Neodiprion lecontei: one gene and its partner. The protein of the gene in region 1 interacts with the protein of each later gene in a biochemical or structural test. Links are inferred from orthologs where the notes say so. Each region holds a gene or a part of one and is shown on either strand. Other genes may lie near its edges.

Evidence for each region.
Region 2: the proteins of C-terminal-binding protein (region 1) and protein hairy form a complex in vitro, tested with the Drosophila melanogaster proteins (2 studies listed by BioGRID). The link is inferred for Neodiprion lecontei from reciprocal best matches to the Drosophila melanogaster genes CtBP and hry.

The regions. Positions count from the first base shown.
Region 1 is NC_060260.1:13,755,045-13,762,698, reverse strand, and holds the start of C-terminal-binding protein, read left to right. Parts: upstream 1-3,359; 5' UTR 3,360-3,730; intron 3,731-7,654. Other genes in the region: E3 ubiquitin-protein transferase MAEA, read right to left, coding at 517-928, 2,550-2,588. UniProt on the Drosophila melanogaster protein: Corepressor targeting diverse transcription regulators. Hairy-interacting protein required for embryonic segmentation and hairy-mediated transcriptional repression.
Region 2 is NC_060261.1:36,899,767-36,908,382, reverse strand, and holds protein hairy, read right to left. Parts: upstream 5,139-8,616; 5' UTR 4,623-5,138; coding exon 4,476-4,622; intron 3,709-4,475; coding exon 3,613-3,708; intron 3,464-3,612; coding exon 2,627-3,463; 3' UTR 1,598-2,626; downstream 1-1,597. UniProt on the Drosophila melanogaster protein: Pair-rule protein that regulates embryonic segmentation and adult bristle patterning. Transcriptional repressor of genes that require a bHLH protein for their transcription (e.g. ftz).

The sequences.
Region 1 (7,654 bases):
TAAAGATGAAGAGGTAAGGTAAGTCTGGTATGACGGGAATTTTAAAAGTACTAAAATAAAATTAAGTTAAAAGATTAATGAGATTTTATATTAAAGATGTGATAAAGATCAATATGTAATCTTGAAGTTTAACTTTCATTCTTTCTAGATTAGAGTTAGTTCGTTGGCATGTTTTGATCACCAATCCACACAAGGCCTTGAGTAATTGTGGAAAAGTAAAATTTTTACTTCGTTTTTTTGATATCAAAATGATGGGGTTAAAAATTACAGATGTTCTTAAAAAAACGTTCTACTAATAGGTAAAATCAAGAATGTCACCTCTGTACGATTGAGTCATTTTAAAATAGCTAATACCTAAACTGGTAAAGAATGCGGAATGAATGAAGTACAAAATAAATATGATTATCATTACATAGGTATTTTTATAATTGCACGAATTTTTCAGAAAGGAAAAGATAGTTTACAGTACGTGTTTCAATAGTCAGGAATTATCCTTCAGACAACATTACTGTTTACCAATGTTAGTCAGATCCCTTAATTCGCTATTATCAGCCAACTTGGTGGCAGTCGTATAGTATCCCTTGCGTAAGAAATATTCAACCAGCATCCTGTCCAGTCTTTGTCTTCTCCACTGGTTGACAGCACTTGGCGCTGTATTGGCATGTTCCTTCAAGTGATCCAGTCGTCTTTTGCAGACCATACCAGCCTGTAGCTCTTCTGCGATTGATTCTTGTGCTTTACGCTTGAGCACTTGAAGTCTAGCTACAACACCTCCTAACAGACGAGTTATTTCGCCGCTGGCCACCCCCCCTGATTCTCCCACTAATCCTTTCTCCAATTCGTTTGCCGCTGTCTGGACATGAGAAACTTCACGATCCAAAGTCTTTTGAGCTGATCGAAATTTTTTATTTAATAGCTCGTACGGCACCTAGAACACAATTAATTGTAAATTGGATCAGATATTCACACAGCTTGTATTGTTGATATCGGTTTTCAGTAAGCTTTGTTCAATAATTGGAAACTAAATACAAAATTTAATCAATCTTTGAAAATATTGGAGTGATGTGTGGAATTATAGGAAGTTCTCTCTTGACAATTTTTGACAATAATCGATTGTTTTTCAGTATTACAAGCCAAACCAATTGTTAAATGCAGATTTTTTCATTTTTGTATAAGAATCTGTTGACAAAAACTGTTCATCCATTGTGTCGTCTCCCTGTAATCAGTGCAGGATATTATAATTCGTGAGATTGCATGCGGTACATGATTTGATGGGAATAAAATGATGCTATTTGTGAATTTTTACATTTTGTATGTCTTACATATTTATATCTGAATTTTGACAATATCTCAGCTAGAGGAGAAGGTCAAGCTATGCGTTAATTGAATCATTACTTTGTCATTTAAATAACACAAGCCAGTGAAAATTTTTGTTCTCTAGTTCTCGTTAATCTTGGACAAATTTCTGAGAAACATCTTGAAGGTGTGGACGAAGAAACAACGATAGACAAGCGTGAAATGTTCCAAAAAATCGATCCTTCGGAAAAATGAATAAAAAATCATCTTGGATTAAATAAAAAAGGTATGCTCAGTACCACAGAGATTCCGGAATTTTTTTATTAACATCATTCGAAGTACGTCTAATATTTTTCATGCTTGAAGTTCTAATGTAGGATGCAGAAAATAGTTGTTATTCTAAGTGTGTTTTAACGATGAAAATGATAATGTGTCGAAGTTTTATATAAAAATGGGATAAGCTGAGTGTAAAGCGAAAAATAATTATAATTGGTGTTATTTCTAAATGTCTTATAATTCAGCTATTTCAAAATAGTATTATTAATAATAAATGGTCTGCAATCTGTGGACTTGATATTTTACATCAAAATAAGAATATACGAGGCGCGTAAAATATCTTGACAATACAGAACAAGTACGAATTGTAATCGGCTGTAGTAATCCAAGGTCAAGCAGGGAATAAATTGTTTCAGTTATAAATAGGAGAAAAAAAAAAAAAAATCAGATCTGCCATGTGTACCTCGACAATAGCGTTATCATCAACTGTGAATACATTATTCAGACAGGGTAGAAATGGCATTGAGTAAGTGAATACAAATAGTATTCTTCATGTTTTTGATACACCATAAATTGAAAGTAGTATTTACTTGTCAAGAAATGACAAAAAGAAAGAAAGAAAAACTACCGTAAGACTGACCATCACAAACTACAAACGAGTGATTTACACAAAAAACAATGCAAAGATGAAGTCTGCCTTTGGGCGAGAAAAAAAATTCTTACGCGGGTGTGTATGACAGTTATTCAAAGAATTATTCGTCAATCTTATCATACTTTCATAAAAAACGATAACAATATTGGGAAGTTCAGATAACGGCTGTAAAAGGAAACCTTTTTTGTTTGCCTGAATATTATAAGTGTCTGAAAGAAGAAAATTTTCCCATCGTGTAGCCGAGTTTGATGAATTCGAAGAGGATTCAGGTTCAGCCATCATAATAAATTCTGACGTTTCGAAGTGACGAAACATGCTTATTTACCTTCAAAGTTGGGTGCTCCAAGCTCTTAACGTCCGACATGTTCAATTCTCTTCGAATTAAATCGCTCCAATTTGATTCAAATTATTCTCTGATGTCGTGTAGTGTCAAAGAATTGCCAGTGGAACGCCTTGACGGACTACGCATTAGTAGCTGAAATCAAAACCCGTCCATTATCTTCCAGCTGACTGGTGTAAACAGACCTCGGACCATACACTCCAAACAGACTATGCTACGGATTTGCGTTTATACAAGACTTGACTGCAGTTTCGCCTAACTTGGTGCTACACGCGAGTAAATAATGAACTTGCAACATTTGTGTTTCTCGAACAGATGGCGCCATTCGAAAGATTGCCAGTCGACATCTCCACGTTGTACAACTGCTTTGTATCGTCACTTGAAACGTGTTAATTGTTGCCGCTGAATTACCTCTCTTGCTCAGTGATGCAATTACCAATTTGTCAATCTGCGTGATACTAATTATCAATTAAAAACAATACAGTTTTGCGGTCAAGCGAAAGGTATGTACATACCTATACATACTACACGTAGAAAGAACAAATCCGTACGACACAACTTCCCGATGCATCGAAACGACAGCGCGTTGCTTACGAAGATATAAACGACGAGTGATGAGTGAGCTTTCGACGTGAGCGAGGCTAATCCTGTTTGAAAATACTCTGAAATAAAAATCGCGTGGTTTGCGAAACGTGTCGGAAGGGGTATCGGCGAACATCCATCCATAGCTGGTTTGACGATCGGCGGATATTCGAACGGTGAAAATACATTGGACAACATTTGTAATTCAGTCGTTCGTATTATTTCGGCGATGATCGGAGGCGCGCGCTACTCGCTCGGGGGGGCCGCCATTTTCCTCCAGTGAGGGAGAGAGTCGCTCGGCCGTGCTTCGCAAGCGTTCTCTGTTAATTATTACTTATTTCGGTTGACAATTGAGTGACTTTCGCGAGTGCGGGGTGTCGGGTGGGCGCGCGGGACCCTTGGGCCCAAATTGTGCAACCAAAAGCCCAAAGTAACAAGAAAAACTCGGGTTAAACCGGGACCAAACACCGAAACGCCAAGTGCGCCCGACTAACATTGTGTGCCGTGATTCGAAGGGTGATTCTCCAACGGCGAAATATTACACCGTCACTCATCTCGGCGAATGATTGATTCGTTAGAAAGAGGTACGTAGACAAATCCCTACATAATTCCGGTGCATAATCAGCGATAGTTTTACCGGGTTCCTGGCTAGGATGCCTACGCTCTGCCATCCATGCGTCTTTCTTCGCAGGCAAACGCAATAAGCATCGGGCAAGCAGGCGGGTAGATAGATGCACAGATAGGTGGCCTAGCTATAGCCGAAGAATATCCGAAGCGCGCGTGTCTGCGCTCCAATTCATTCGTGGGTGTTACGTGTTCGTGAAAAGATGCGTGGTTTACGTCGCTGATATGGCGGGAGTAGAGACGCTTCGGCAGCCACGCGCATTTATTTCATTCCTCCCCCTTAATACGCGCACTTGTCGGCTATTCGACCGACGGCCGCGGCGTTCTACCATCGCCTAACCGCCAGCTATCGCCATTACGTTACACTTGTCGCTTTCCTTCTTCGCCAAACTTTTACCTTTTACATTTATTTCTTATCTACCCCCTCCTTCCGTTCTCCCTTACCACTCCTCCCCTCTCGTTTCTCTCTCTCTCTCCCGCTCTCTCTCTATCTTTGCTTCTGTTACACCGTAGTTTACTCGTTAAACACGACTTCACTGGCTTCTTTAATATCGGGCCAATCGACGTCTTTAATTCGCGTTACCATGGAAGAAGAAATTGTGGCAACTTTCTCAACAATGACGATCAGACTATTTCGGCCATAACTTTTCATCATTTGTTCTATTCTTTAATTCCTTAATTTCTAGTTGTGTTAATTTCGGACAACAAAAACGAGTCTGTTGAAACTTGAATTTCAAACTTGAGTTCGGAACGCATGTATGATACCAACACCACGTGCCTCCTTCATTGTTACACTATACCGTTAATTGTACGACTGAGTAGAGAACACTTTTACCGAAGAAATGATTCATTTATAATTCATTAAACGTACGTACGTTCGTTCGTCGCGTCCGATCATTTTCGCACTGTGCGAAATAATACTTGACATACCTACATTGCTGTCGAGGATCGTTGAGTTTGGTTTTCCGGAGAAAAAAAGTTTTTATACATCTAAAAATATACCACACGGAGCATATGTGTACAATCATTTAAACGCATGGTTCGAGTTGTGTGCGTGATTAAAGTTACGCGTATGTCTACACACATCGTAGTTCATCTCTGATACGAATTTAATCTACCGAACGAATACGTTTACCGAATGTATATAATAAAAATAAATGGTAATCATTTACTACATTTACTCACAAGAGTCGTCGTGTAGGCAAATCTCGTGACGTAAAGTTTTTCTTCTTTTTTACGTTCCGTTAAACGTAGATGAAAAAATTGAACGTTCGATTGGACGAGTGGATGATCGGGAGATTATTGAAATCAGTTATTAAAATGTTATAATAAGTTGAAAAATAACCAACCAATTGCCGTGTGTTTTGTTCCGGTGCACAATTTTTTCGAAATATCAGAACTAGTTTATAATTCTGAGATACGAAGCATATATGTTGATGTTGGATTTCCGTTTAAAATATCACCACATTTCAGTCCCTCGGTCTGGATTTCTTTTATTAATCGCGTTGCTCGTCAACTCGTCTTCTCGGTTCTGCGGCTAATAATTCTTAGATAATTGTAATCAACGTACGGGAGAGAAAATGAATACATACGTATTATCCCGGTATGTTGAGAGACAAGGTATTGTATAATTATATACTTTTGGCGTGTTTTATGAACTCGGAGCAACGCGTTTGTACACGAATGAAAAAAAAATAATTATTATTATCAAATATTGTGATGCCGAGAAACAAAATGAATACACGCATATGTATAACCGTTATTTCTCACATCAGAGGAAAAACTAGATATTTCCGAATTCCTTACATGCATGGTGTGCAAGCATGTTCAGGCTCACAATTTCTTCTTCAGGACTTTGGACTTTCTTAGGTATATTTGCTACTCGCGTTCGTTTATACAATCGTATCCGAAAACTATACATATACGACTGAGAATTGAAAGGCCAAGTTTATTGCTGCTCATATCCAGTCATGACTCGCTCGCTCGTTCTCGTTTTATTCATCGTTGATCGTTACTTCATCAATGTATTAATCTTCCGAATGAAACTTTCTATTGTTCAGAAGTGACCGAAGCTCCGATGATGCGATCGGCGCATATTACGTATGTTACATACATGTATGTATACATATTTATACATTATACTTATGTATACATGCATTACGTAGTTATACACAAATACGCTCATATTGCAATCACCTACAGATATGCGTGCTGCGATTACGAATATTACGTTTTCCTACTGAAATTGACTTTATTTTTTCTGATACACAGACAGTAATTTATTGAATATTGGCCACTAGTGCGACTGAAAATCGATTTTAGCTAAAGTCCGCTCAAAAGCTGCTGTCTTTCATTCATGGAAAATGAACCAATGGAAATTCAACGAACTTCACATGCTCGAGCGTTCTTTTCTATTCTTTTGAGAGTAAAGAAAAGAAATGCTAAATTTTTGCATTAAAGAAAAATTTAATAAATCTTGTCAAAAGTTGAGTTGTCAATATTTAATTTATATCGGATACTTAAAACAAAATGTTGAAAGATTGTTGAAAATAAGCGTAAAAAAAATCTTTAGTCTTGAGTTTGACATTAACTGATTGACCCGAAACTTTGAATTTTTTTTCACATTGTACGGTGACAACAAGTGCAGTGTAATTGACTTTCGGATTAGTTCGGATTAGCGCCAAAAAATAATTCATCTGCAAACAACAGAATTGAAGTTAGTAATTTTAAGATAATAAAGCATCGACACAAAACTCGTTAATTTACTATTTCGGAAAGATTTTGAAAACGTTTAGTCTGCACAACGTGAGTACGTTTTGCTTTAATTGTGGATTACTGAATTTCAAACGATTCTGAAGTTGCGAAGTAACGTTTTTTCTTGAATATGCATCGATATATTAACGTTACGAACTTCAACCTCATTTGCAAACATTCTATGTACACACGTGCAGATGTATGTGATGTTCGTACTGTCGCTGATGAAGTATAATGCGTGCCTCTATATGTATATGGAATACATCTTTATATTATACGTAGTTTGTAGCGATAACTACATGACGAGTATAATATAATAAACGTATTCGTATTACAAGAATATATATACAGGTATACATTATATACGCGTGCTTGCTGCAGCTGTTTTCCCCCTCTTATTTCAACCTGTGACTATTAGATGTGACGTTTTTTGTCCGGTAATCTATCTCACGGTTCAACATTACACATACCTCGTGTTTCATTAATTTTATGAACTTTCATTAGTCAAAACGAAAGCTCCATCACAAGGAGTCCTATAATCAGCCAAAGTTTGAAGATATTTCATTCGTACTGAGAAAGAGTAAGTATTGCAAAAAAAAAACGATTTGTCTCATTTGACAGAGGTTTGACATCCCCTTGAGCCGATTAGATTATTCGATCTATCATATTTTCATACATTATTATACATATATTGCGAGTCGACTGTTCGCAATATCAATGCTAATCCAAATATAGAGATTTGCAATTTTTCGTTATGTAATGACGTTGAGCTGTGGCTTAGCGGATAATAAAATATGCATGAAAGAAGCGGCGGCACGTTCTATGGTTAATAAAAGAAGTTTACCCGGTATCCTAAACGCCACGTAACTTTCGATTGCAAGTGTAAAGCCTGCCTCGAGGAGGGAAATAGTCAACTCGAGCGCAAATAGTCAACTTTGAATTGTTGTTCTTGCGTCACGGTTTGCGGTCTCTGTGCTGAGTCAACTTTCATAACAAAATAGTATTCCAGGATATTTGGGGTCGCCGATTACGAATCTCAAATCAGATTTCAAAAATTCGACACGTCGGCCGCAATATGGCGGACTAAAATTTCAAGTTTGATCGAATACGGCCAAAAAACTCTGCGGGAC
Region 2 (8,616 bases), on another chromosome or scaffold:
ACTGTGTATTTATCTTAAATTTATAGTGAAAATTTTTGATTTTCAATTTTCTAAATTGTGTAAATTGTGTAAACGGTAAATGTATGGTAAATTTCTCTGTTCCGTATCCGAATAAAACTTACAATACAGTGTAGGAATTTCAATTCAGAAATTTTTAACGGTCTAGTCTTGCGAATTCTTGCGCTGCTTCTTTCGACGCAGCCAAGTTCAGCCGGAGGTGGCCCAATGGCCCACGGTTCTATGGGATACGTAAATAAACGACGAACACACGCACTTCCCATTCTCCGAAAAAAGAGGAGCGGACAGTTGACAATGCGCCTGCATACCAGTCTGCGGATAAACTAAAACGATTATTCAAAAACAGTCGGAAAAGTTGTGATGGAAAATTTTCGAAATCGCAATAAATTTTTTAAGGTGACCGAAAAGTTCCTTGCTGGTTTGGATTGCTGCAGCCTTATAATTGGCACTGAACCAAAATTCTAGCTAGCAAGGTTTAGTCTATAAGTTTCGGCAATTGTCTAAAAAACAAAAAATTGGTACAGATCAGTACCTCTTGAGCTCGTTTTTTTCTAAAGTTAGTTGAGTATTTACAATTACATTTCTCCTTAGTTCTAACTTCAACTTTCACTTTTCTTCGCGTGACAAAAAATTGCAACAAATTTACCGAAAATCACAATTCTCTCCTTAGTTTTTCTGTCTCTCTTTCCCGTTTTTCTCGCTCCATCGTGGGGCACGCGAAATTATACAACCCCTTGGTATTTTTTCTTAATTTGTTCTCTCTTACTTGCCGTGAAAATGTTACCTGCAAAAACAGTATGCGAATTATAAAAAAATATCATCTCGATTCTAAATGTTTTCTCCTTCGTTTGCCCCGTGTTTTTGAGCCGATGATTCTATTTCGATAAATTGGCAGCTGTCGAAAACAGGATAATTGAGTTCGTCCCGATATCTCGGCTTGGAAAACTCAAAAAGAAATTCGTTACTCCCTGTTGTGATATACTGGTCAAAGTAACTTTTGTCTCCCCTGTTTCCCGTAGGCCATACACACCCTTTCGCCCGAGCGATCGTCGACGAAAAAGAATGCCAGGACCCTCGGCGAGACATCCGGGCTCTGAAGGGTTTCGCGTCATCCCGCCAGGCGGCAGCAAGTCCTTGCAAAGGGTTTCGGCGGCAGGACGCACGCTGGACTTTTTTTGGTGCTCGAAAGGCGCGCACCGTGCTCACCGAGAGCCGGACGCCGAGGAGTGGGAGAAGATGGGTCCTTGACTTAACTCGCGGTTAGTCGCTCTCCAGACGTGCAACGTGTGTGAGATGCGAGCGGCGAACCGGACCGAAGGAAGCTGATTTCTTGTTCAAGAAGCGAACAATTTTTAATGGCACTTTGCAGACCGATCATTTTTTGTAAATATATTTTTCGGATAGTTTGACGAATTCTAATACTACAGAAACGTCGTGGTTTTTTTTTTTTTTTTTTGGAATTTTCAAGTAGAAGAGCCTGAATCGGCTTCGTGAAACGATATGAAGACGTCAGAGTCGGAGTATAAAGTACAAAGGGAAAGGAGGTGTGCGGCGGATGGGGTTGAACTGACGAGTCAAATTAAAGGTTTTAATAAAGAGATCAATTTATTTGACACTCTTGTTGTAATAAGCGTGCTTTTCTATCGTCATAATAGACAGGAATAATAAACTCAATCTTTTACACTCATAAATATAAATAAAACATTCTTACATACGTCCTTTCTTTCTCTCTCTCTGTCTCTCTTTCTCTTTCTTATCTACCTATATCTCCTCTCCTCTACATATTCTTTCGTCAACTTTTTCTCGTCGTATCTCGCAATTTCTTACATCACTAAACCGTCTAATCGGATAATCATAACAAATTAATTACAAAATTCTTATACATCTATTATAATTTACACAACGTTATTACACATTTTATTTTTATTCTGTTTAAACGTTTTTTTTCTCTGCAGCGCGATTTACGTACACAAGAAACATATAAGGTATTAATTATTATTAATGGAAGACTTGAGTGATTCTTGTTGCGTAAGGCACTTATATAGTTTAATAATCGTAGAGGGTGACGGGGGTACAATAACGTACGTTATACCTACACTTTACAGTTTACTATATTTACATTTCTAAACTGTCGGATCGTCAAGGTTCAAATGAATTTCAATCAAATAGGTTTCCGAACCGTTAGTAGAAAAAAAACCAAACCATTACACATTTATATTTTCATTTCTTCTTACTCTTATCCATCGTCAATTAGTCTCGGTTAAAGTCCACAAGTGGCAAATATCTCTATATATACAAAACAACTCTAGATACACGATCTACAACAAAGGCACTGTTCAAGGCACTGCCCAACAGGTTAATTATTATACTGGCCGACATCGCGGAGACACTCACTCTCTACATCCCTAAGCTCTAAGTCGTTACATCATTCTCGTTGGAAATAAGAAAATGAATGAAAATCATAAAAAAAAAAAAAATAACAACCAATCAAAGTCAAAATAAAAACGAAGATCAATTAGTCTTTGTCGGGGAAGCCCAAGTCATCGATATTCTCTCATCTCTCGATTCGCACAGGCGCGTTAAGGTAAATCCTCGATAAATCTCCTCCTTACCAAGGTCTCCAGGGTTTGTCCTCGACCTCAGGAACGACGCTCTTCCTCATAACGAGAGCGAGAGGTTTCTGCAGCGGCGCACTGTAGACCCGGGGATCGAACTCAGGGTCGCTGGTGTATCCGTTCGCCGGTGAAGTGGCGACGTCTCTGTGGCTTGCGGTGGTGGTGAAGGGTGAATTCTGCTCCCTGAATGTGGGCGGGGGCGCCTCAAAGGCAACGGGACTGCCGGCCGAGGTGGAGGTCGAGCTCGTCGAGGAAGAGGACGAGGATGCCGACGCGGTTGAGGCCGTCCTCTGGGGGATCGGTATCAGGGTGGGTAAAGGCGACGCGGGGGCCGGCGATGCCGACGGTGACGCGACGGGTGTCGCCTTGGCGCCAGCGGGCAGAACGAGGGCGATGTCGCCGTTGGGAAGGCGCGTCGGTACCAACTGGAGTCCCGTCCCGTTGGCGTTCGTGAAGAAGATGCCGTTCGACTGCTGGACCTGGATCCTGGGTGTTGCGTCGACCTGCGGCAGGATGTGGACCTGGAGTTGGGTCGCCGGCGCCGCCGGCTGCACCGGCTGCTGTCCGCTCTGGCCGTTCGACGTCGTCGTCGAGTCGACGGGGCCCAGGCACGAGGCCAAGTGCGCCATCAGACGTCGCTTCACCGACGCCTCGAGGCCTGGGAACCGGCCGACTTCTCCTGCGCATTCTGTGAATCCGGCACGGAACTTGTTCAGCACGTTCGGGTCTGTCGCCGCCGCAAGAGCTACTTGCTGACGCTGCAACGTCTCCAGGTGCTTTACCGTCATCTCGAGGATGTCAGCTTTTTCCAGCTTCGAGTGTCTCGCTGGCTGTAATCAGAAATTGGAGAAACACGGTGGTTAGTCGAATGCAGTCTTGTCGCTGCAGAGGAAAGGATACGGAAGAAACAGAATGAGAACAGGACTAATCCTCACGCCTGTTTCACCTGCTGAGCTATTCGAAAATTATAGATACTTACGTCTTTTTTCATCGCGTCGAGTATCAGGGTCTTCAGATCATTCAGGCAGTTGTTAATCCGAGCCCGACGACGTTTTTCCATTATCGGTTTATTGCTCTGTAATTAAAAAAAAACATCATCGTCGGTTAATTTCAGGGTCACGAATTTAAAGCGTGCTTACAAGAATAAAAAAATAAATAAATAAATAAAACGAAAATAGGCACAGGAAATTTCAACCCGGAAAGCAGTGGAAAAGAAGAAACCGGCCGGTGGGATTATTCGCGGTATTAAAGCCGGCCGACGGCGACGTTCTACTTTCTCTAGGCACTTGGACGCGTCGCCTTTAACAGCCTGCCTACAATCGAATCGAGCGCTAGACATTTTCGCCTCAAAGACGACAAGTGTCCGTCGGTTCAATGACTCTTAGAAATCAGAAGCTGCAGGTGTCTCCGTAAAATCGAAATAAGAATGAAAATCCAAATGTGTTCCGTTAACCCGCACCCAACTGAACACCCTTGAATAATTCGCTCCGAAAAGACGCGGAGTGGATCTCGCAACTTTTGAGTGATTGAAATTTCGATCAGAAAGAAAAAAAGAAGAAACAACGCTGATAAAAACGAGAACAATTTTTCACATCGAAAGGCAAAAAGTCGGACCATTCTTGCCATCTTTCCAATTTCTTGACCAGCCAACCGGTTATACGACTCGATCGGAACGTTTCAAGAACCTTGTCGGGATTTTAGGGTGTTCTTTTCGAACTAGCTATCCAACAGCTCCGAAACGTGCTCAAGATTTTATCGAATTTATTCCTTATGTTTCGCTAGATTTCTTAAGATTTCTTTTTGTTTCCCATTATCTCGAGAACATATAGAAGAGACACTAACCCGTCGATTTTCCCCGGATCGTCTGGTGGTTGAAGTCGCAGTCTGAGCAGGAGGTTGTCCTGCCTCCTGAGGCACGTGTTGGGTCTGTGGCGCAGAGCCCACCGTGACACCTCCGGTTGGCATCGTAGCACCAACTCCGGTCACCATGATTTAAACGTTATAATCTCACCTCAGAGAGACGAAACCGGGCGTATACAATCTCGTTTTAATCAAGTTTAACTATCCTCTCCACTATTTTGAAAAACAATGTTTTTTCGTTTTTATTTAATATATTATTTCACACTTCACAGGTAGGTAGTAAAAATAATCCAAAGCTTCTTCGACGGCGATTGATGACGGCGAACGAATCACTTTGTTGATTAAAAAACCAAAAATTCTTAAAAACCACGTTCTTTTCTTTTTCGTTAACGTCCACACTCGTCCCGTAATCCGATCGGTGGTCAATTTCGTAAAATGAAAAAGTTTGGAATTCTTTATCGTAAATTGCAATCGAAGTCGAAGCTTCAATCATCCGCGGCCAATTGCCAGATCGCTAGATCGCTCCTAGGCTCGACCTGTCGCTGAGCGCATCGGAGCTCGACTGACTCGCGTACTCGCTGCAGTCCGACGTTTTCTGGCTCTAGACTCCGACTCCTCGAACGAGCCGACCGTCCTCGACCGCTGGGAGGGGGAAACGGGCCCCCCCCCCCCCGCCCTGCCCCTCCGCAGCCACTTTTGGCCGACGGCGCCGCGCGGCTGCACGCTTCTCGACCCCCACCTCCGGCCTGCTCGAAGCGACTCGTCCTGACGCGTCTGGCCGTCGAGCTTTGCGGTTGCCTTGAGATCCGCACATATCTACACATTTACCTACTACACATTCTACTATACCTGCACTCCCGGCAGTCTGCGGCTTATCTGTAGGTCGTGTTTCGTTTCCCCGGTGTTTGGAATATTCCGCAAGTGCGAGTAGATCGACAATCGCGTGGGATCGCGACACGCGGAATAATGTAGCAAGCTCGAGGCATCCCCGAGAAATGTCTTTTGCGGAATAATCGTGAGTCTGAGTTTATGAAGCGGTTTTTCCGCCAAGTGTAATTGCTAGTCATGACATCGTGAATCGTCCAACTACGCCGTACTTTAGCCGCGTTATTAATAGTCGCGTGCAGAGCACTCGGTTACGCGAGAATATGAGAATTAGGAAATCCTGCTTTCTTTGCGGTTGATCGGAGTTCTTTGCACTCGGGATGTGATTCACTGACGCGATAAGTAATACGAGCGGGGTTATCGCGATATCCGGTGTGTTGGTAAAAACGTCGCGGAATCGTACCAGCAGCCTAAGTCAAGGTTTACAATTTCGTCGGTTCGTCATGGCACCGCTCAAACTACTCGGCGTTTATACGGACCGGATTGCACGCAACAAGGCTGGCTGATCTCTCCTTCTGAGTGTGTCAGTCGTGCGGAGTTTCTTGCATCGTTCTCGTCATAGTCTCGTGCACGTGGGCGAGGGGTCGGAGGAGGGCGAGTCGCGCCGGGAAGCGGCTCGCGACCCCCGGAGCGAAATAGATAACGCGGTGCATCCGAGGCGCGAGTGGGACGGCGATAAACGCACGCGTCGAGGGGAGGCTGGAGAGTGAGAGGAGCAAGTATAGCGAGCTTGGGAAAGTGGAGGGGGGAGGCTACGCGCCGACGGAGAGCTCGAGAGACGGGCGAGCGACAGAGACGCGAAACATCACCGGCCAATCGGCGAGCTCCTATTCGATCCGTCGCACGCCAGCCGCGATCCCCATTGGCCGAGACGCCGCCCCCTCCACTCACCGAGCGCGACTCGCGTCGAGCGTGCCGCTTAGTTGGTCTGTGGTGGGGCGAAACGATCATTCGACCTCTGGCGCTCGGGCTACGTGGTCGCGATATTTGATATCGGTGGGTCTTTGCGTTCCGTTGAAGGACTTCGACTTTTATCTCTTACAGACTTTTTAACCCTTCTACGATCAAGGTTCGCCCTTACAGGTGTTATACTCTCTTTACCGAGATTGTAACGGGCTGGGTTTGGCTTCGTGATTAAATTCAGCTGAAACGGGGTATCGTAAGAGTCATCGTACCTACGCTGGCGATAAATTCTCCGTCATTAGCCGGTCGTACCTGTACGATCGTCTCATGCGATCATCGACGGCAATCGACGCATCGCCTGCGGGGCTGTCGGGTCGATCCGTCTAACGAGGAATGAACGAGCGGGTCTCTCGTCCGCTATCGCGATTCTGATTGTACCGGGTCCCTGGAGTTTCTTTTTTCGCGTCAGATTAATCGTCGCATCGATATTCGACGTCCGGGTTACCTCACGATTATCGCATCCGTGGACGTTGTGGTCGTGTACTATACACACCCGAGTCAAGCTAGGCTGATTTGTTCAGCTTCGCGGTCGCATCGTGCAGCCAGAGTTCGACACGCGCGCAATGTTGTTCCTTTAGCCGAGAGTAATCTACGTCTCGTGCGCTTGTCTCATCGCCGATACGCCACTCTGGCCTATCCTTCGCGTCATTCGTCGTAATCGAGCCTCGAACTCTCGCGTATATTAGGAGTAGATGAGCAGACCGGCGCGACGGCGGCCTGATCCTGAGCCTGGATGATGCAGGATGATGCCTCCGCCTGGCGGGATTGGGCCGAACTTTTACCCCGGCGAAAGGTGCGCCGTTCAACCTGTTAGTTTCGGGAGTACGTCGACTGGACGCAGGGAACGATAATACATGAACACTTGAATTTAGGCTATCATATTATTTTTTAATTCTTTGTTCTCCGTTGCGGATGATAATCGGCACGTGAGGGTACAGCGATATCAGCGTGAATCGTCGCTGTTATCGCGAGTCTGCGGCACGTCTAGACGCGCGCGACGATAAGTTGCCGGCAATTAATCTTGAAGGAATATCGGCATCGGAAAATTAATCGAATCGCTCTGTTTTGCATCGAAGGTTTCCAATTTGTCCTTGCCTTCACGCAGGCCCAGATAATGTCGTCGGGTGTCTCTGGCGCACTTCGCCTCGAGGACGACGGCAATTATTGTTGAGAAGGTAATTGAATTAGGCCTATATATGGGCAACAGAATGGGCGAAGGCCGTCTATCCGCTACTTTGAGTTATCGTTCGATCTTTTATATAAACTTGACATGCGACAGATTTAACTTGCATGTATGACTCAAAACGTCGCTTCAACTCAATTTATCAGAAACTCGTGTTATATACATATATACATATGTAGCACATGCATGCGGTTCAGCTAAGAATTCTGACGGATGCGTGTTACACATATGTTTATATACTGTCGCAGATAAGCCGAAGGCGAGTTATAAATACATATACATATACCATAATTATTTTTATCCTTGAAAATAAAGGGGTATCAAGGAAGTATAGAGTCTATAGATAATCAACTACTTATTCCTTTCCACAGTTTCATACATACATAAATAAGGAATTTACCAAATATATACCAAATATATCAGATACGGCGAAAGAAGTGTTTCATTATTTCAAATGAATTCGGTTTTACTTGGCAGTACAAATTATTGTCTAACCCCTTTTTTATTGAATCATATAACATTTCTCTGAACCGGAAGAATTTGATCACCATGTTTGGTGAATTCAATAAATTCCAAATCTGTGTATACATCCTGGAACAACGTCAGATTTTTATGGAACACTAAAAGATGAGTAGCTTATTATGCACCTTCTATTACAAACTGATAATTTTGTTAATCTCTCTCGCCTTATATCGCAAGTGGAAAAATTGGAAACCATTCAAGTACCTCCGCGTAGGAAGCATTAAATATTTCCACTGGGTGTGGTATCTGTGAAATTAATGATGGGAATAATCAGCGCGGGCATGAAATTACCGATGCTCGATATTTGAGCAAACATCGCTCGTTCATTTCGATCGATAATCAGCTACTGCAATATATTTTTCTACGTAATATCGTCTCGGGTTTACACTTATATACCAACGAGCTCTAACCGATCCACGGAATTAATCCTGCTCTACAATTAGGTAAACGTGGTATAAAGTTCGTTGTGTCTTCGAATAACTTTCTTGCTAAAAAAAAGTGATAACATTAATCGCAGAACAAGTTCTTACGCGTAGATGTGGAAGAAAATACTTGAGAAATGTAGGTACA